Callithrix jacchus: one gene and its partners. The protein of the gene in region 3 binds, or shares a complex with, the protein of the main gene of each other region. Links are inferred from orthologs where the notes say so. Each region holds a gene or a part of one and is shown on either strand. Other genes may lie near its edges. The genes, in order: UBE2B, MAGEA4 and RAD18.

Region 1 (6,555 bases), on a different chromosome or scaffold from region 3:
TCCCAAAGTATTAGGATTACAGGCATGAGCTTATGTCTCAGCTCATGCCGAATATTTTTAAGATACAGTTTCTCTTGACCATTTTTCTCCATGTAACCTTACATGTGTATCTTTCTCTTTTGTTATCGGAAGGGTTAGGACTGCAATGGCAGAAAGGCAAAAAAATTAAGAATATTCAGCTTTTGACTTAGAAAACACATTGTGAAATGTTTAACAGGACCTATCAAGAGTTAGGCCTGCCTAACTCGATTACCGAGGCAGTCACTGGAAGCAGAGAGAGAATTCAGGGTTTAAAGAGGAAGATGCAAGGAAAGTCGGAAAAGTTAACTCTGCTTCCATGGAACTATGGGCAAGGTTGAGGCAATGCTAAGGTCTTCATTCCACCTTCCCTTTCCCTGTTGAGCTGAAGGATTCCTCAGTACTCAGAGTCCTTAGTATAACAAAGTCCTGAGGGTAGGAACTGGAAGCAATAGAGGGAAGGACAGTAACTACAGAAAATATTCAAGGTCTGTGGGAGATCAACACTTTTGAACCCCCCTGGTGATGGGGGGGCACTTCTGGCCCATTTGCACTTTACTTGCTAGTGTAGAAAACCTAAAGTTATCTCAGGCTAGATTTATTTTTTTGTTTTGTTTTGTTTTGAGACAGAGTTTTGTTCTTGTTACCCAGGCTGGAGTGCAACGGCGCAGTCTCGGCTCACTGCAGCCTCCACCTCCTGGGTTCAAGCAATTCTGCCTCAGCCTCCCGAGTAGCTGGGACTACAGGCGCACGCCACCATGCCCAGCTAATTTTTGTATTTTTAGTAGAGACGGTGTTTCACCTTGTTGACCAGGATGGTCTCGATCTCTTGACCTCGTGATCCACTCGCCTCAGCCTCCCAAAGTGCTGGGACTATAGGCGTGAGCCATCGCACCGGGCCTTCAGGCTAGATTTATAACCCTCACTCATATCTACAGGAGCTCTCCCCCAGGTATAAATCATATTTGTAGGTTTCTTTGACAACCAACCACTCATTGATAAGCCTGGAAGTCTGCAACCCCACATTCCTTAAAAATATACAATGGTACAACCCCCTATAGGCAAGTCCCGGACTCTGACACATATCTTCAAATGAAAGCAGACCCAGAAAGGAAAAACTGCATAATACACCATCCTTTAATGTTTGCCCAAAATTTTCAATACTAGAAACCCCACTGCAAAGCTGAAAGACTATTTGGTAGCTTCAAGGAAGCATTGCAGGATATTGTTGTGTGGGCCTCAACATTCAATGCTGCCTTAGAAGATCGTGCAATACCCTTCTTGCCCCAATAGCAGAGTTGATAAGCCACTGAACCAACCAGAGGGGAATTATTTTTGGTCCCGGTTTAAAGAAAACAAAACGTGACTCATGCCTGTAATCCCAGCACTTTGAGAGACCCTGCCTCTACAAAATGTAAAATAAATAAATAATTTTAAAACCCTCAAAAAAAAAAACAAAACAAAACAAAACAAAACAAGCTGTTGATTCTGCCATGATCTCTTGGGTAATGATGTCTCTAACCTGTAATAAACAGGAAACAACTAATAAAGGTGTAATCTCCCTTGAACCAGCTTCATAGAGCTGGCTGAAACTCACATAGAGGCGAGGCTTTCACGTGACCCATTCTAAAGGCGTCATAGGGACACGTGGTTCTAGATACTTCTCCCCCTCCCCCTCAGGGGTGGATTGTTGACAAGGCCACGGTCAGTCACGTGATCTTACGTCATCCCACCTCCTTTCCCTGAAATCTCTGGCCCGGATGAGTCCCCCCTCTCTCCACCCCGCCGAGTCTAAACTAATGACGGGGAGGGGGACAGATAGTGTTTCGGTTCCGTGGTCTCTGAATCCACAACCTCTAGTGTAAGCACAGAGTACACAAACTTGCCGATCATTTCAGGAAGCCCAGGCTGAACCCAGCCCCGCAGAAGGGCTCGGAGAACGCGCGCTCCAGCGTCCCGCCCCCTCCTCCCCCAACGCTCTTCCGTGGTAGCGGCGGAGGGCGGAGGGATCCGGAGGGCGGAGGGATCCGGAGGCGGCGGAGGGAGACGTCATTGCAGGGTTGTTTGTCAGTCTCGGCGACGGCAGCAGCGGCAGCTACCCACAGTGATTTGGCCGCCGCGCCGGGGGGTGGGGGGGCTGCGCGGGACTCTTTTCTTTCAGACTGACCGCGGGGCAGCTGGGGAGCATGTCGACCCCGGCCCGGAGAAGGCTCATGCGGGATTTCAAGCGGTAAGGGCCTTCACGTCCGCCTAGATGACGGCCCCTCAAAGCTGCGGGGCTGCAGGGTGGGGATCCCGGACACCTTCCCCTTGTGACCCTCCGAGGGCCGGCTGTGGGCCCAGCAGAACTGGCAGAAGCCGGGTCCTAGCCTCGGCTTCCACTACCTTATCCTTGCCTCTCGTTTTGGCGGCCGAATAAATTTCGATACTCCTCCTACCCCCAAAAAGTAAAACGGTGTCGATCGACTGGCCTAGGGTTCCCTGCTGCCCTTTTCGGCCAGCTGCCCGGCGATCAGATTTCCTCCACCCGCCCCTGCACCCTGCGGCGCCCCCTTCTTGTCCTCTTAAAGTAAGCTCCTGCGGGAGTTTGTTCCTCGCCGGCTGCACCGGTCAGCTTTGTTTCACTGCCCCGCCGTCTTCTCCGAGGAGCCGGGTTGGGGCGAAACCCCCCGCACCACGCCCCGGTCCTTTCCATTTCTACCGTGAGGGTGGGGTCCAGTGCGTGAGGCCCGGAGCTTAACCCATCCCCCGAAACCCGACTCTGTCCCCGCCCGCCTGAAAGGACCTTGGGAACCGACTTAGAGATCTGGGACCTCAGAGCTGGCCACCCCGGCTGCCAGTGCCTTCTGGAACTCAGCTCTGGCTGGTGAAGAAAGCCCTATCTATAGCCTCCCGAGTCTGGAAAAATGCCTTCCCTTAGACGGGCGCTAATTTGATACTCCCTGGGCCTCCTTTGGTAAATAAATAGGGTTTTAACTGTTAGGAGGTATTGGGGTTGTGAGAAAGAGAATGATTAGTCCGTCGTTTGCCTTTAATTGGATACTTAGAGACATAGAAAAACATGTGAGAAAACAGCATTTTGATAACTCTGCACGTTTTTCTTAAAATTTTTTTTGGGGATACCTGCCCTAATTGAGACAAAATATCTGGCCTAAAAACTTAGATTTGTCGCTCAGGAAGTCGCCTCTCAACTCAGCCATTATAAAGCCTATGTGAAGCATTTGGAAGCCATCCATTGTTTTGGGCTTTGGCCAACTTATTTAATTCATTGGTAGCTTCTCTTAGCCATTTAAAGGTAGGCGTCAAGCAGTGCAGTTCTTGTGAGGCTTCTGTTCGTGGCGGCCTAATTTGCTTGAAATTGACTAAAAACCTTTTTTTTTTTTAATGTGGACTAGTTGCAAAGTGTGATGCCCCATGAAAACGACTGCATATGTATTTGTGTGTATAATGTAGCATTTTTAATTGACACTACAGTCTCTGAAAGGAGATGCCCTTTTTTGTGCAAAAGTTATCTTTCTAAAGCTTGAAATTAGTGTATTTGCTTGGCACTTGTGACTAAAATTCAAATAGCAATTTAGTTCACGTCATTGTCTCCCTGGCTCCTTACTGTAATGCTCTGCTTAATTCTGAGTTGAGTATATGACACCTTTTGAAGTTTTCCAAAGGTCTGCAGGTTATAAGAATTTGAGGAATGTTGGAAAGCCTTGTATTGAGTCTCCTGATCTGAGAGGTAGATTTGGTGTTAGTGCAGAGCCTTAAAATAGGGACTGGCAGAAAACCTACTGATTACTTTTTAAAGCCATTGCCGTTTGAAGCAAAAGGGATAAAGTAAATCTGCCTAATACTAGTTTTGTAATTAACGTGTTTTCAGTCATTAGTGTTTACACTGAGGTTTGCTTTTCTTTTTTTAGCCATTTTGCAGAAGTACCTGTGGTTAAGACACACAGTCTTTGGATGGTTAGAGCAGCAAAATCGATGGTTCTGTAAAAATATTATTTGCTTTTGAGTTTTTAAACTTTTTTTTGGTTTAAGAGGACAGTCTGTATGCATCAATTCTTGAAGAGATAATAATCTTGATAATATTGAAAAAGGGATGATTCTCAAGCCTTTTACATTTTTAGATAATTTGGAGAGGTATTTAATAAGTGTATATACCTGGTTAATATATTTAAGTCATAGGGTTCATTTTAGTTCACAGTAACAAGGAAATGGAGTTAGTCCCTGTGTCACAATAGATGGTATAGTGTCTGTAGGTGTTTATGTGGCCTCCTTAGTGGCCTTAATGTTCAACTTTTTAAATTACCACTCCGGATTTCTAGGTTACAAGAGGACCCACCTGTGGGTGTCAGTGGTGCACCATCTGAAAACAACATCATGCAGTGGAATGCAGTTATATTTGGGTGAGTTGAAAGGTTTATAATAGGTGTGTGTTGAATCTTTAAGTGAATATATAACAACTGCCTAGGAAAAGAAACTGGGGTGGATTGAGAGATCTTCAGGACTAAAACTACAAGATAAATTAGAAAAAAATTTTTTTAATTAGAATTTTAGCTCATGCCTAGGAGGATCGCTTGAACCCAGGAGTTCATCACCAGCCTGAGCAATATAATGAAACAGTGAGTCTCTCTCTCCCTGCCCCCCAAAAAAAGGAGTTTTGGCCCAGCCTGGGCAACATAGTGAGACCTCATCTCTACAAAAAGTATAAAACTAGCTGGGCATAGTGGTGCACACCTGTGGTCCCAGCTACTTGGAAGGCTGAGGCAGGAGGATCACTTGAGCCCAGGAATTTGAGTGCCATGATTATGCCACTGCACTCCAGCCTGGGCAGCAGAACCAAGACCCTTATGTTTCAAAAAAAAAAGGAAAAAAATTTCAGCAGTTATATACAATTTATTTGCTCTTTTATTATAGGGTTTTATAATCACTTCAGGTTTTACTTTAAAATACTATTCAAAACTATATGGAATGGAATAATAAAGGAGAAAATATAAATTATTTTGTATAAAATATACCATGCAAATGCTTTAATTCTGTTGGAGCTATTACAAGATTTGGAACCAAAAATATTAAGAACTTCTACTGTGGCAAGTATTTAAGTGAAAAGGATTCACAGCCCGGTGTGAAGTAGCAGAATGCAGCCATTTGAGGAGTTGTAAATTTTACGTACTATATATGTTGCATATATGCTTTTTAATTTAAATTTTCCTTATGCTTTTTCTTTGGTTTTTCTAGACTTGATCTGTTTTTTCTTTCATTCCTTTGAAACTCGAGATATGCATTAAAAAGTAAAAGGAATATGTTGATAAACAGAATTCTGATACTCCAGTTCAGCTACAAGAGTCTACATTTAAAGACTAGTGGAAAATGAGTGAGGTTCACCCTCATAAAGCACTTCTGTTATATTCAGGGTATTATCTGGCTACTTTGAGATCCTGAATATGCCTTGCAAGTAATAATTAAACCTTGTGCTGCTGCTTAGGAAGTATGAAATTGGGATGTGGTGGCAAGGATCTGAACAAGAGAATCTGGCTTTTTGGTGACAGCAGCTATGCTTAGCCTATTTGAACAAACGTTATGCATCTGTTGGAAAGCAGGACACTTGGGTTTAGCATCATAACTAAAGACTATTGCTTTCCATCTTATTGCTGTTAAATGAAAAAGATGACTTTTTCTCTTAAGAATATACATATGTGGCCAGGCATGGTGGCTCACGCCTGAAATCCCAGCACTTTGGGAGGCTGAGGCGTGTGGATCACCTGAGGTCAGAGTTCAAGACCAGACTGACCAACATACTGAAACCCTGTCTCTACTAAAAATACAAAAATTAACCAGGTGTGGTGGCACATGCCTATAATTCCAGCTACTTGGGAGGCTGAGGCAGGAGAATCCCTTGAACCCAGGACAAGTAGGTTGCAGTGAGCCGAGATCACGCCATTGCACTCCAGCCTGGGCAACAAGAGTGAAACTCCCTCTCAGAAAAAAACAAAAAATAACAACAAACAAAAAATATACATATGTACAAAATGACTGGTCAGTATTAATGAACTGGAAGTTTTTGGTGCTAAAATTATGGGCAAGTTTTTTTGTTTGGTTTGGTAAAACCACCCTAAAAAGAAAGCTTAGAATGAAAGTTGTATTTTATGCCTGTGTTTATGAAAATCCAGGGCTAAGGTGTTATTAAGCTGTATCTTAAAACTCCACAAATCATCCGAATGGGTCCCTCTTTTTCTGTTGGAGTTTATCATTTCCACTCTTGAAAGTCAGTAAAAAGCAGAATGAGAAACTTCTTTTAATCAGAAATCTTCTTGTTTTCAGACCAGAAGGGACACCCTTTGAAGATGGTAAGTCATACTCATTATGTTTTCTGTAGTTTTATGAGGTTGCTTTTTAGTAGAAAATTGTAACAGCAACATATCTACTTGAAGCCATTTTCTATGGTTAATAGGCCAAGTTAAAATTTAGTAAAGCTGTGGAGAATTTATACTTTATAAGGGACTTTTTTTCCCACATTGGCTTGGTCACATCCATTGGTAAAGT
Region 2 (6,520 bases), on a different chromosome or scaffold from region 3:
GCACGCAAGGCTCTGCCGCCACCCCAATACCCCCACCCCCAACCACGCCGGATCCGGTTCCACCCAGTCACGCCCGGATGTGACGCCACTGACTTGCGCATGGGGGGCGGGTTAGAGAGAAGCGCGGTTCTTGGTCTGACCAGCAGCTCGGGATTGGTGGAGGCAACCGGGCAAGGCACTGTTAGGAGGAATGCTGAGACGCTGAGGGAGGACTCAGGAGCTCCCCACGCGAGATAGATGACGCCAAATAATCCATTACAACTCTGCTGCCAGCTCTAGGCCACCCGTGGCTGGACTTCTGAGTGGGGGATGGGCACCACGGCCACTGTGGTTGAAGTCACAGGGGACTCGGGACTCAAAGGGCTTGGCGTGGTCAGTGCAAGACTGGTGGGGATAGGCTCTGCCATGAATTAACTGCAGGATCCCAGGAGAGGGCTCTGAGTCCCCCATTCCGTCCCCATTCCCCAACCCATTTTTATTCCCATCCACCCTCCCATCCCGCACCAGTACCCCCATTCTCTCCAGCCCCTACCAACGTCATAATCCCATTCCCCCACCCCCAACCACGCAGCATCCGGTTCCACCCAGGTGCCCGGATGTGACGCCACTGACTTTCGCGTGGGGGCGGGTTAGAGAGAAGCGCAGTTCTTGGTCCGACCAGCGGTTTGGGATTGACGGAGAGAGGCGGGCAACGCTCTGTTAGGAGGTAAGGTGAGACGTAGAGGGAGGACGCAGGAGGTCCCCTTCCCCGGTAGACGACTCCAAATAATCTCTTACCACTCCGGCTGCCAGCCCTCGGCCACCCGTGGGTGGACTGCTTAGTGGGGGAGGGGCACCACCCCTACTGCCGTTGAAGCCACAGGGGACTCGGGACTCAAAGAACTTGGCGTGGTCAATGCAAGACTGGTGGGGTAGGCTGTGCCAGGAATTAACGTGGGGATCCCAGGAGAGGGCTCTGAGTCCCCCATTCCCATCCCCTTTCTCCAACCCATTCTTATTCCCATCCACCCTCCCATCCCGCACCAATACCCCCATTCTCTCAAGCTCCTACCAACCTCATAAACCCATTCCGCCACCCCAATACCCCCACCCCCAACCACGCCGGATCCGGTTCCACCCAGTCACGCCCAGATGTGACGCCACTGACTTGCGCATGGGCGGCGGGTTAGAGAGAAGCGCGGTTCTTGGTCTGACCAGCAGCTCGGGATTGGGGGAGGCAAGCGGGCAAGGCACTGTTAGGAGGAATGCTGAGACGCTGAGGGAGGACTCAGGAGCTCCCCACGCGAGATAGATGACGCCAAATAATCCATTACAACTCTGCTGCCAGCTCTGGGCCACCCGTGGCTGGACTTCTGAGTGGGGGATGGGCACCACGGCCACTGTGGTTGGAGTCACAGGGGTCTCGGGACTCAAAGGGCTTGGCGTAGTCAGTGCAAGATTGGTGGGGATAGGCTCTGCCATGAATTAACTGCAGGATCCCAGGAGAGGGCTCTGAGTCCCCCATTCCGTCTCCATTCCCCAACCCATTTTTATTCCCATCCACCCTCCCATCCCGCACCAGTAACCCCATTCTCTCCAGCCCCTACCAACGTCATAATCCCATTCCCCCACCCGCAACCACGCAGCATCCGGTTCCACCCAGGTGCCCGGATGTGACGCCACTGACTTGCGCATGGAGGGTGGATTAGAGAGAAGCGTGGTTCTTGGTCCGACCAGCAGCTCGGGGTTGACGGAGAGAAGCGGGCAAGGCGCTGTTAGGAAGCAAGGCGAGACGCTGAGGGAGGACTCAGTAGCTCCCCACCTTAGATAGAGGACCCCAAATAATCCCTTACCACTCCTGCTGGCTGCCCTGGGCCACCCGTGGGTGGACTTCTGTGTGGGGGAGGGGACCAGTCAGAGTGCCGTTTAAGCCACAGGGGACTCGGGACTCAAAGGGTTTGGCGTGGTCAATGCAAGACTGGTGGGGGTAGGCTCGGCCAGGAATTAACTTCAGGATCTTAGGAGAGGGCTCCGAGTCCCCCATTCTGTCCCCATTCCCCAACCCATTCTTATTCCCATCCACCCTCCCATCCCGCACCAGTACCCCCATTCTCTCCAGCCCCTACTAACCTCATAATCCCATTTCTCCCACCCCCAACCACGCAGCATCCGGTTCCACCCAGGTGCCCGGATGTGACGCCACTGACTTGCGCATGGGGGGTGGATTAGAGAGAAGCGTGGTTCTTGGTCCGACCAGCAGCTCGGGGTTGACGGAGAGAAGCAGGTAAGGCTCTGTTAAGAAGCAAGGCGAGACGCTGAGGGAGGACTCAGTAGCTCCCCACCTTAGATAGAGGACCCCAAATAATCCCTTACCACTCCTGCTGGCTGCCCTGGGCCACCCGTGGGTGGACTTCTGCGTGGGGGAGGGGACCAGTCAGAGTGCCGTTTAAGCCACAGGGGACTCGGGACTCAAAGGGTTTGGCTTGGTCAATGCAAGACTGGTGGGGGTAGGCTCGGCCAGGAATTAACTTCAGGATCTTAGGAGAGGGCTCCGAGTCCCCCATTCTGTCCCCATTCCCCAACCCATTCTTATTCCCATCCACCCTCCCATCCCGCACCAGTACCCCCATTCTCTCCAGCCCCTACTAACCTCATAATCCCATTCCCCCACCCCCAACCACGCAGCATCCGGTTCCACCCAGGTGCCCGGATGTGACGCCACTGACTTGCGCATGGGGGGTGGATTAGAGAGAAGCGTGGTTCTTGGTCCGACCAGCAGCTCGGGGTTGACGGAGAGAAGCGGGTAAGGCTCTGTTAAGAAGCAAGGCGAGACGCTGAGGGAGGACTCAGTAGCTCCCCACCTTAGATAGAGGACCCCAAATAATCCCTTACCACTCCTGCTGGCTGCCCTGGGCCACCCGTGGGTGGACTTCTGCGTGGGGGAGGGGACCAGTCAGAGTGCCGTTTAAGCCACAGGGGACTCGGGACTCAAAGGGTTTGGCTTGGTCAATGCAAGACTGGTGGGGGTAGGCTCGGCCAGGAATTAACTTCAGGATCTTAGGAGAGGGCTCCGAGTCCCCCATTCTGTCCCCATTCCCCAACCCATTCTTATTCCCATCCACCCTCCCATCCCGCACCAGTACCCCCATTCTCTCCAGCCCCTACTAACCTCATAATCCCATTCCCCCACCCCCAACCACGCAGCATCCGGTTCCACCCAGGTGCCCGGATGTGACGCCACTGACTTGCGCATGGGGGGTGGATTAGAGAGAAGCGTGGTTCTTGGTCCGACCAGCAGCTCGGGGTTGACGGAGAGAAGCGGGTAAGGCTCTGTTAAGAAGCAAGGCGAGACGCTGAGGGAGGACTCAGTAGCTCCCCACCTTAGATAGAGGACCCCAAATAATCCCTTACCACTCCTGCTGGCTGCCCTGGGCCACCCGTGGGTGGACTTCTGCGTGGGGGAGGGGACCAGTCAGAGTGCCGTTTAAGCCACAGGGGACTCGGGACTCAAAGGGTTTGGCGTGGTCAATGCAAGACTGGTGGGGGTAGGCTCGGCCAGGAATTAACTTCAGGATCTTAGGAGAGGGCTCCGAGTCCCCCATTCTGTCCCCATTCCCCAACCCATTCTTATTCCCATCCACTCTCCCATCCCGCACCAGTACCCCCATTCTCTCCAGCCCCTACCAACGTCATAATCCCATTCCCCCACCCCCAACCACGCAGCATCCGGTTCCAGCCAGTCACACCCAGGTGCCCGGATGTGACGCCACTGACTTGCGCGTGGGGGGCGGGTTAGAGAGAAGCGCGGTTCTAGGTCAGACCAGCAGCTCGGGATTGACGGAGGGAAGCGGGCAAGGCTCTGTTAGGAGGTAAGTTGAGACGCTGAGGGAGGAAGCAGGAGGTCCCCTCCCCAGATAGAGGACCCCAAGTAATACATTAGCACTATTGCTGCCAGCTCTGGGCCACCGTGGGTGGACTTCTGAGTGGGGGAGGGGCACCACCCCCATTGAAGCCACAGGGGACTCGGGACTCAAAGAGCTTGGCATGGTAAATGCAAGACTGGTGGGGGTAGTCTTTGCCAGGAATCAACGTGGGGATCCGAGGAGAGAGCTCAGAGTCCCACATCCGTCCCCATCCCCCAACCCATTCTTATTCCTATCCACCTTCCCATCCCGCACCAGTACCCTTATCCTCTCCAGCCCCTACCAACCTCATAATCCCAATCCCCCACCCCCAACCACGCAGCATCCGGTTCCACCCAGTCACACCCAGGTGCCCGGATGTGACGTCACTGACTTGCGCGTGGGGGGCGGGTTAGAGAGAAGCGCGGTTCTTGGTCTCACCAGCAGCTTGGGATTGGGGGAGGGAAGCGGGCAAGGCTCTGTTAGGAGGCAAGGTGAGACGCTGAGGGAGGGACGCAAGAGGTTCCCGTTCCAGATAGACGACCCCAAATAATCCATTAGCACTCCCTCTGCCAGCTCTGGGCTACCTGTGGGTGGACTTCTGAGTGGGGAGGGGCACCAACCCCACTGCCGTTTAACCCACAGGGGACTCGGGAGTCAGTGTTTGGGTTGGTCAATGCAAGACCGGTGGGGGTAGGCTCTGCCAGGAATTAACGTGGGGATCCCAGGAGAGGGTTGAGCCTCCCCCATTTCCAACCGCATCCACAGCCCATTCTTATTCCCATCCACCCTCCCATTCCCCACCAGTACCCATATTCTCTTCAGCCCCTACCAACCTCATAATTCCAATTCCCCAACCCAACACAGACGCCCATCCACGCAGCATCCAGTTTCACCCCGTCACACCCAAGTGCCCGGATGTGATGCTACGGGCTTGCACACGGAGCGGGGGTGTTAGAGAGAAGCGCGGTTCTTGGTATGACCAGCAGCTTGAGATTGGCAGAGAGAAGCTGGCAAAGTTCTGTTAGGAGGCAAGGTGAGATGCTGAGGGAGGACTCAGGAGGTCCTTACCCCAGATTGATGACCCCAAATTGTCCCGTACGATTCCTGCTGCCACTCCTGGGCCACCCATGGGTGGACTTCTGTGTGGGGGAGGGGCACCACCCCCACTGCGGTTTAAGCCACAGGGAACTCGGGAGTCAGAGTTTGAGCTGGTGAGTGCAAGACTGGTGGGGGTAGGCTCTGCCAGGAATCAACGTGGGGATCCCAGGAGAGGGCTCAGAGTCCCACATCCGTCCCCATCTCCCAACCCATTCTTATTCCCATCCACCCTCCCATTTCCCACCATTACCCCTATTCTCTCCAGCCCCTACCAACCTCATAATCTCATACCCCCAGCCCCATCCACGCAGCGTTTGGTTTCACCCAGTCACTCCCAGGTGCCCGGATGTGATGCTACTGACTTGTGCATGGGGCGGGGGTGTTAGAGAGAAGCCCGGGTTCTTGGTAGGACCAGCAGTTTGGGATTGATGGAGCGAAGCGGGCAGGGCTGTTACGAGGCAAGGTGAGATGCTGAGGGAGGACTCAGGAGGTCCCCACCCCAGATAGATGACCCCAAATAATCCCTTACCACTCCTGCTGCCAGCCCTGGGCCACCAGTGGGTGGACTTCTGAGTAGGGGAGGGGCACCACCCCCACTGCCGTTTAAGCCACAAGGAACTTGGGAGTCAGAGTTTGGGGTGGTCAATGCAAGACTGGTGGGGGTAGGTTCTGCCAGGAATCAATGTCAGGATCGCAGCAGAGTGATGAGTGTCCCGCATTGCCATCCCTATGCCCCGCTAGCACCCCTACCCTTCCCATCTCACTACTATGGTCATACCCTCATTCTCTGCCCTCATCTCCCTCCCTGTGGAATCTGGTTCCATCCCTGCTTTCAACACAGGCAGGCCCTGGGTTCCCACATGTGATGCCACTGACCTATGCATTGGGGGTTAGAGGGAAGTGAGGTTCTGTGTCTGAGGGTTGGCTTGAGATAGGCGGAGTGAAGGGGGCCCCGGCTCAGTGAGGAGGCAAGATAAGACACTGAGGGAGGACTCAGGATGACTGCATCCCAGGTAGAGGGTCCCAACTGTTGACCACCCTTCGAGGGTGTACTTCTCAGGCTGCGCCACCTCCAGCTTCCCACCTCCCTTCTACCTGTACCCCAACACTGTCCATGCAAGGGACTCTGGAGTTAGAGTGTGGTGTGGTCTGACCGGGGAAGGGCTGCTTAGGAGAGCAGCATCCAGGCTTTGCCACACATCAAAGTCAGGAATTTCAGTGAGGGCCGAAGGTCCCTAAGAGCCCATTGTAATCCCCGCTCCCAGGAACCAACCGCCACTTCATTGCCATTCCCACCCTTATTCCTCAACCTAGATCCTCATCCACTCTGCCTTTTCACCTACAACCCTCTCGGAATCCCCACCCTCACCCTGGCCGATTACAGCTGCTGCCTCTGCTGTCGATCCAGGGAAGCCCCGTGTATCCAGTTGTGATGCCACTGGACACTGACTTGCTTATTGGTGATTAGAGAGAAACGAGGTTCTCCTTAGGGGCAGCTTGAGATCAGCAGAGGGAAGCGAGCCCAGGCTCTGAGGAGG
Region 3 (6,459 bases):
TGGCATGCATTTGAATGCCGTTCTATGATTGCCTGATACAAAGCATAAGGGTGGGGGTTGGCACCATAAACCTCCATTCCTCATCTTCCTTTTGGGAGTCCCACTAGGTCCAACAACCTGAGATTCTCAGACCTGGCTCTGCCCCTTGACTTGGTTTACTTAACTGTTTCTCAAAAAATTATCAGTGGGTGATTTCTTCTGGTTTTAGGTTAAAAGACCTAGGTTCCATCCTGGATAATGCCACTGACAAACTGTGGTTTATATGAATTCCTTTACCTCTCTAAGACTTAGTTCTCATGATGAAGGCCTTATGAGAATATTCTGTTGTGGTCAATATGGACTCTCAAGCCAGACTGAGTTCAAATCTTTCATCTTCCACTACCAGCAGGGTGCCTTGTGAATAAGTCAAATAAGTGCATATGTGTAAAAAACTTAGAATGGTGTTTTGCATACACGTGCCTAATAAATGCCAGCTACTACTGTAATGGATACTAAAGTCCTTTCTCTTTTTTTTGAGACGGAGTTTCGCTCTTCTTACCCAGGCTGGAGTGCAATGGCGCGATCTTGGCTCACTGCAGCCTCCGCCTCCTGGGTTCAGGCAATTCTCCTGCCTCAGCCTCCTGAGTAGCTGGGATTACAGGCACGCGCCACCATGCCCAGCTGATTTTTTGTATTTTTAGTAGAGACGGGGTTTCACCATGTTGACCAGGATGGTCTTGATCTCTTGACCTTGTGATCCACCCGCCTCAGCCTCCAAAGTCTAAAGTCCTTTCTCTAAATGCTATTAGTATTAATATTACTGCCCAGTAAGTATTTGGGTGCAAGCTGGGAAAAATCAATTGAATACAGCTTTGGCTAAGAGACTAGAGGGTTCTTATGAAGAGAACTCAGAGGAGTGAAGTCTTAAGCTTTCTGAGCCTCAGTGTCCTCATTTGTAAGATGGCCATAACAGTCTAATCTCTGCCTGCTTCCCAAGAAAGCTCAAGTGCCTGGCCCGTTGTAAGCATTCAGAAAATATTTGTGAAATGAATCAGTGCATGGACCACGTGGGGCGTGTTCTTCATCTTAAGCCTCAATGGGCTCCAAAATGTCCCTTCCTAGATTCTACAAAAAGAGTGTTTCCAACCTACTGAATCAAAACAGAGGTTTCAACTGTGTGAGAATCCACACATTGCAAGGCATTTTCAGATAGCTGGTTTCTAGTTTTTATTGTGGGATATTCGGATTTTGCCATGAGCCTATATGGATTCCGAAATGTCCCTTCCCAGATTCTTGCTAACTTGGTGGGAATATCAAGGGCAAGGATTCAAGGGTGGGGATATTGCTAACTTGATTTAGCAGAGTTCTTTGCTAAAACTGGATTTTATCACGAAGTACACAGATTGGCCTAGGAGAAGGTTCAGGAGCCTGACTAAAGTTTGGTCAAGCCAAGAATCTTTGCCAATTTGCATAGGAAATATCTGGAAGGCTATATGCCGAAGTTAATAGTGCTTCTCTCTGAAGAAAAACTGTACATTAAAATTTTAATATGATTAAAAGGAAGAGCTCCTATTTAAACTCCAGAGGTCCTGTTTCGAATCTGACTCGAAACTCTATTCAGCTTTTCCGGAGTAGTTTCCGCTTGTGTAAACTGACAATGATAACACCTACCTCCCAGTGTTGTAATATGGGAGAGATATTACACAGTAGCGGACATAGCCTAGCGCAGGCGCAGTACAAGCACCATCAGCAGCGCCCCGCCCACATCCTACTACAATTTCCGGCAGGCTCCGCGCCCGCCTCTGGCGCGTCGCGGGTTGTGACGTAATGCGATAGCGCGGGGAATTTCGAGTGGTATTGGAGCGCCGGAGGCTAGTTGAGTGGTAGACCCCAGCATCTTCAGGAGCGACCATGGACTCCCTAACCGAGCCTCGGTGGCCGCCGGGCCTGGCAGTTATGAAGGTGAGTGCTTCGGGGAGGTTGGGGGCTCCCGGGTGCCTGCGGGGGGCGGTCCCTCCCTTTGAGGAGGATGTCCTCGCCTTGAGGAGAAAAAATGAGGCGCGAGAGTCGCACTGGGCCATAGTACCCGGCTCTGCTCTGTCACTAGCCGACCGCGTGGCTCTGGGTCTCAGTTTACTCCTTTGATAAGTGACAAGGACAAGCTTGGTGAGCTGAGGTTGACAGTCTAATGGAACCAGATATTCTGCGATCCAATCCGAACAGTAACATGGAGAAAAACAGCTGTTCTAAACAATGACATTGTCAGCTAACCTTCACTGAAAGCTTACTTTGTGTCAAGCACTAAACAGTGACACCGGACATGATTTTGGGTGGACACTTTATCAAGTAACATGTATGTAATCACGTAGCCAAGCAGGTAGTCTCCTTTACAGGCTCTTCTGATTATTCTCAATAAACCTACTGCTGGTTTGTACCGACATACTGCCCCAGCTCCTCCCTCACACGTCCTATCTCTTCTGTAACAATTGCTCATCTCTCTGTCTTTTAAACAAAGATCAAGATTCAGCAGTCATCTTTCATTGCATCGAATTATTTCAGTTAAATAACACTTATTTTTGTAGCCACTTTCTGTTTTGGCAAGGCAACAGTTTCCATTTACGTAGTGGTGGTCCCTGGATTTGCTCAAGAGCAGATGCACATTCCCGTGCTGGCTAAAAGTCAGTTGTTTGGTGTTTCTTTTTGCTCTGTGATTATTTTTGTTTCTGACAGTGGCTAAGATAGCCTTTTTCTCTTCCTCAGTTTTGTAGTCTTGGGGATTATAGTATCTGTCCCACTGGCTCATAAAGTTGACTTTAGAATTAAGTGAAGGCTAAAATAAGTATAAGGCCTTGTTCTTCCTGCTGTCATCCGTGATATTTAGAGGTCTTGGGGACTTGAGATATCTGCATGACGAGAAGCTGACATTGTGAAAGGATCCAGGAAAGCGGTGGTTTCGAAGTTGTGATGGGCTTGGCACCAAGATGCCGTGGAAAAGAGCACAGATTTGAATTCTAGTGGTCCTGGGTGAAATCTGATCTCTGCCTCTTAGCTGTGTGACCTTCAGTTAGTAACATAACCTCTCTGAGCCTGAATTTCTTCAACTATAAATTAGAGACAAAAATAAACAGTTCATAGGGTTGATTAAATAAATGAGTTCATGTGTGTGGGTGCAGATTCTGCAGGCTTATTCATTGTGCTTGATGCGGTGCCTGACAGAAAGTGAGTGCTCAAGTATTATTTGCTGCTTGATTGAAAGTATCTGGAATGTAGTAAGCATTCAATGAATATATTTTATTACTATTATTAGCACTGTGCTAAGTGCTTCTCTCCCCTTTTAATTTGTTGTCATGAAGCTTGATTTGGATAAGGAAAGTAAAAGAACTCTGTAACCTGTAAAGCTCCTGCTTTGTAGATTTAAGCATATTTTACATATTCCCACAATTTCAGTGTTCTTTAGAGGCAGGTTCCATGTCTTCTCTGACTTTGGTATCTCACCACGGCACTGAATATAGAGTTTGATACCACAGAGTGTTCAGTGATTGTTCAACCAGAGAGTTGATTGAGCCCATATTTTTTGCTCACATTAGAATCATAGAATCTTAAGGTTTGGAAACCAGCCTCCTTCATTATTTTAAACTCTTTTATAACATATCTGCCAATTTCTCACCTAATTTTTGCTTGAACTCTTCCAGGGACAAAGAACTATCAGATCCCAGAAGTGGATCTGACTAAAGTTACTTCTAATAGAAGTCTGACTCAGAATGCATGGTTCCTGACTTAGGATCCGTAGAAAGACTTCGGAGTCTCAAGTTATTTGTAGAATTTTCGTATATATGTTTTTCTGAGAATAGAGTCCATAGTTTTCATCTAATTTTCAAAGGGATCTGTAACCCCAAAAACTTGGGTATTTTTGTAAGTATTATGTTTTTCTACCCATTTTCTACTCCCTTTCACTTTCTCTCTCTCTAAACTAAAGACATTTTGGGGTGTCTGCTGACCACTCTCTATTCAGGCATCGTTTTTTGTTTGGTTGGTTGAGGCACATGTGATACGCATATTACAGTCTTGGAGAGACATGACCAGAAATTTGAACCCGAAATAGCTCATCTTATGGAGTGTCAACTTCCACAAATTGTGCTCTGCAGATCTTTCTGAATCATTACTCCACCGAAGAGAATGGCATAGATAAGAAAGAGTGGTATGACAGACTGGTTCCGGCTTCTGGGCCTGCCTCTGATCTTAATTGATCTTTAACATTAACCCTCTAGATTTTTGTGTCTGTGACAGCTTACCATCCACAATAATGGAAGATTTTGGCATTTTATTATTTCCCTGGTTTTATTTTAGCAAAATTGGACTCTTTTTGGCATATTGTAAATGTAATAGGTGTACACAGTAGAAAAAAATTAAAATTCAGAGTAAGATAAAGGTGAAAAAGAAAATCATCTGTAATCCTACCACCCAGAGAACCAGTGTTTAACATTTTACCTTATTTTCCTTCAGTTTTTACGCATTTAAAATTTGGGATCATTGTGGAGTCAACTTCTTGGGTTTGATTCAGCCAACCTAGGAACTCTGAAGGCTTTGTTTTTAAAATTGGGGTACTGATGCTGTGGACTTTATAAGATTGCCATGAAGATTAAACTACAGAGTTGCCATTATTATGTATTATTGGCATATATTTATTTTCTGATTTTTATTTTCCTATGGCATTAAATATTCTTTGAAAGCATGTTTTTTAATGGTTGCATAATATTTCATCATATGGACTGTTGGCAACATTAGTCTTTTTTTTGTATAAATTTTAAAAATTCAGATAATAGGTTCACTTGGTTCAGGATACACATGAAGTGAAAAGTAAAAGTTTCCTTCTTACCGTGTTCCTGGCCCTGATCATTTTTATTATTATCTTCTCATAATTTGTTTGTATTTCTGATGAAAATAGATACTTTTTTTTTTTTTGAGATAGGGTCTCACCGTCACCCAGGCTGCTTGCTGCCTTGAACTCCTGGCCTAAAGTGATCCTTCCGCCTTAGCCTCCTGAGTAGCTGGAACTACAGGCATGTGCCATCATGCCCAACTAATTTTTACTTTTTTTTATAGACATGGATTTTTGCTATTTTGCTCAGGCTGGTCTTGAATTCCTGAATTTAAGCAATTCTCCTGCCGTGGTCTCCCAAAGTGCTAGGATTACAGGCAAGAGCCACCAAGCTAGGCTTATTAGAATACATTCTTTTTTTTTTTTTGAGAGAAGGAAAGAAAAAAAAAGGAGTGAAGGAGAGGAAGAAAGAGGAAGAAAAAGAGGGAGAGAGAACGGAAATGTTGCTTTATTCTAAAAAATGGGTATTAATAATGGCCAATCAATATTTCATTTAAACCTATGAGTAGGTGTGATGTGGTATTGACAAGAATGTATATTTTGTGTATTTAAAGTGGAGAGCTCTATAAATATTTATTAAGTTTACTTGTTCCGGATCTGAGTTCGAGTCCTGGATATCCTTATTAATTTTCTGTCTCATGGAGTCTAAGTCTCTGTGTATCTGGGTGTTAGGATCGTTAGCTCTTATTGTTGCATTGATCCTTTTACCACTATATCTTTGTTGCTTTAAAATCTATTTTATCAGATGCGAGAATTGCAACTCCTGCTTTTTATTTATTTATTTATTTTTGCTCTCCATTTGGTTGGTAAATCTTTCTCCATCCCTTTGTTTTGAGTCTTTGTGTATCCTTACATGTGAAATGGGTCTGGATGTAGCATACAGTTGGGTTTTGGCTGTATCTTTTGATTGGGGGATTTAGTCAATTTAAATTTAGGTTTACTACCATTTGATGTTAACTGGCTGTTTTATCCATTCATTGATGTAAATTCTTCTTTATGTTGATGCTCTGTACTTTTTGGTATATTTTTAGAAAGGCTAATACTGGTTGATTCTTTCTATGTGTAATGCTTCTTTCAGAAGTTCTTGTAAAGCAGGGCTGGTGGTAATAAAATCTCTGAATACTTGCTTGTTCATAAAAGATTTTATTTTTCCTTCAGTTGTGAAGCTTAGTTTGGCTGGATAAGAAATTCTGGGCTGAAAGTTCTGTTCTTTAAGGATGTTGAATATTGGCCCCTACTCTCTTCTGGCTTGTAGAGTGTCTGCTCAGAGATCTGCTGTAAGTCTGATGGGCTTGCCTTTGTGGGTAACCTGACCTTTCTCTCAGGCTGCCCTTAGTATTTTCTCCTTCCTTTCAACCCTCATGAATCTAATGATTATGTGCCTTGGGGTTGCTCTTCTTGAGGAATATCTTCGTGGTGGTCTCTGTATTACCTGGGGTTGAATATTGTCCTGCTTTGCTAGGTTAGGAAAATTTTCCTGAATAATATCCTGAAGAATATTTTCCAGCTTGGATTCATTATCTGCATCGCATTCAGGTACACCTATCAAACGTAAATTTGGTCTTTTCACATAGTCCCACATTTCTTGGAGACTTTGCTCA

What was found.
Region 1: the proteins of RAD18 (region 3) and UBE2B are in contact, whole or in part, in a crystal structure (PDB 2YBF), measured with the Homo sapiens proteins. The link is inferred for Callithrix jacchus from reciprocal best matches to the Homo sapiens genes RAD18 and UBE2B. Residues at the interface, in NP_064550.3 of Homo sapiens: Tyr342, Arg343, Lys344, Lys345, His346, Lys347, Glu349, Phe350, Leu353, Val354, Gln356, Ala357, Arg358, Lys359, Gly360, Tyr361; in NP_003328.1 of Homo sapiens: Pro20, Val22, Gly23, Val24, Ser25, Gly26, Ala27, Ser29, Glu30, Gln35, Asn37, Ala38, Val39, Phe41, Gly42, Pro43, Glu44, Glu49, Asp50, Lys54, Leu55, Val56, Leu73, Ser74, Asp151, Ser152.
Region 2: the proteins of RAD18 (region 3) and MAGEA4 are in contact, whole or in part, in a crystal structure (PDB 9BD3), measured with the Homo sapiens proteins. The link is inferred for Callithrix jacchus from reciprocal best matches to the Homo sapiens genes RAD18 and MAGEA4. Residues at the interface, in NP_064550.3 of Homo sapiens: Ser348, Phe350, Gln351, Leu353, Val354, Gln356, Ala357, Arg358, Lys359, Gly360, Tyr361, Lys362, Lys363, Ile364, Ala365; in NP_001011548.1 of Homo sapiens: Ser111, Val114, Asp115, Ala118, His119, Ser158, Lys160, Met161, Ile162, Ile204, Ile205, Gly208, Thr209, Met212, Glu224, Glu225, Val228, Met229, Gly230, His237, Val239, Tyr240, His290, Val291, Val294, Asn295, Arg297, Arg299.

The regions. Positions count from the first base shown.
Region 1 is NC_133503.1:32,757,778-32,764,332, forward strand, and holds the start of UBE2B (ubiquitin-conjugating enzyme E2 B), read left to right. Parts: upstream 1-2,084; 5' UTR 2,085-2,204; coding exon 2,205-2,248; intron 2,249-4,337; coding exon 4,338-4,418; intron 4,419-6,333; coding exon 6,334-6,359; intron 6,360-6,555. UniProt on the Homo sapiens protein: E2 ubiquitin-conjugating enzyme that accepts ubiquitin from the ubiquitin-activating enzyme E1 and transfers it to a E3 ubiquitin-protein ligase. In vitro catalyzes 'Lys-11'-, as well as 'Lys-48'- and 'Lys-63'-linked polyubiquitination.
Region 2 is NC_133524.1:148,210,916-148,217,435, forward strand, and holds the start of MAGEA4 (melanoma-associated antigen 4), read left to right. Parts: upstream 1-2,183; 5' UTR 2,184-3,230; coding exon 3,231-3,301; exon of another isoform or gene 3,302-4,917; intron 4,918-6,520. UniProt on the Homo sapiens protein: Regulates cell proliferation through the inhibition of cell cycle arrest at the G1 phase. Also negatively regulates p53-mediated apoptosis.
Region 3 is NC_133516.1:66,166,036-66,172,494, reverse strand, and holds the start of RAD18 (E3 ubiquitin-protein ligase RAD18), read left to right. Parts: upstream 1-1,803; 5' UTR 1,804-1,890; coding exon 1,891-1,941; intron 1,942-6,459. UniProt on the Homo sapiens protein: E3 ubiquitin-protein ligase involved in postreplication repair of UV-damaged DNA. Postreplication repair functions in gap-filling of a daughter strand on replication of damaged DNA.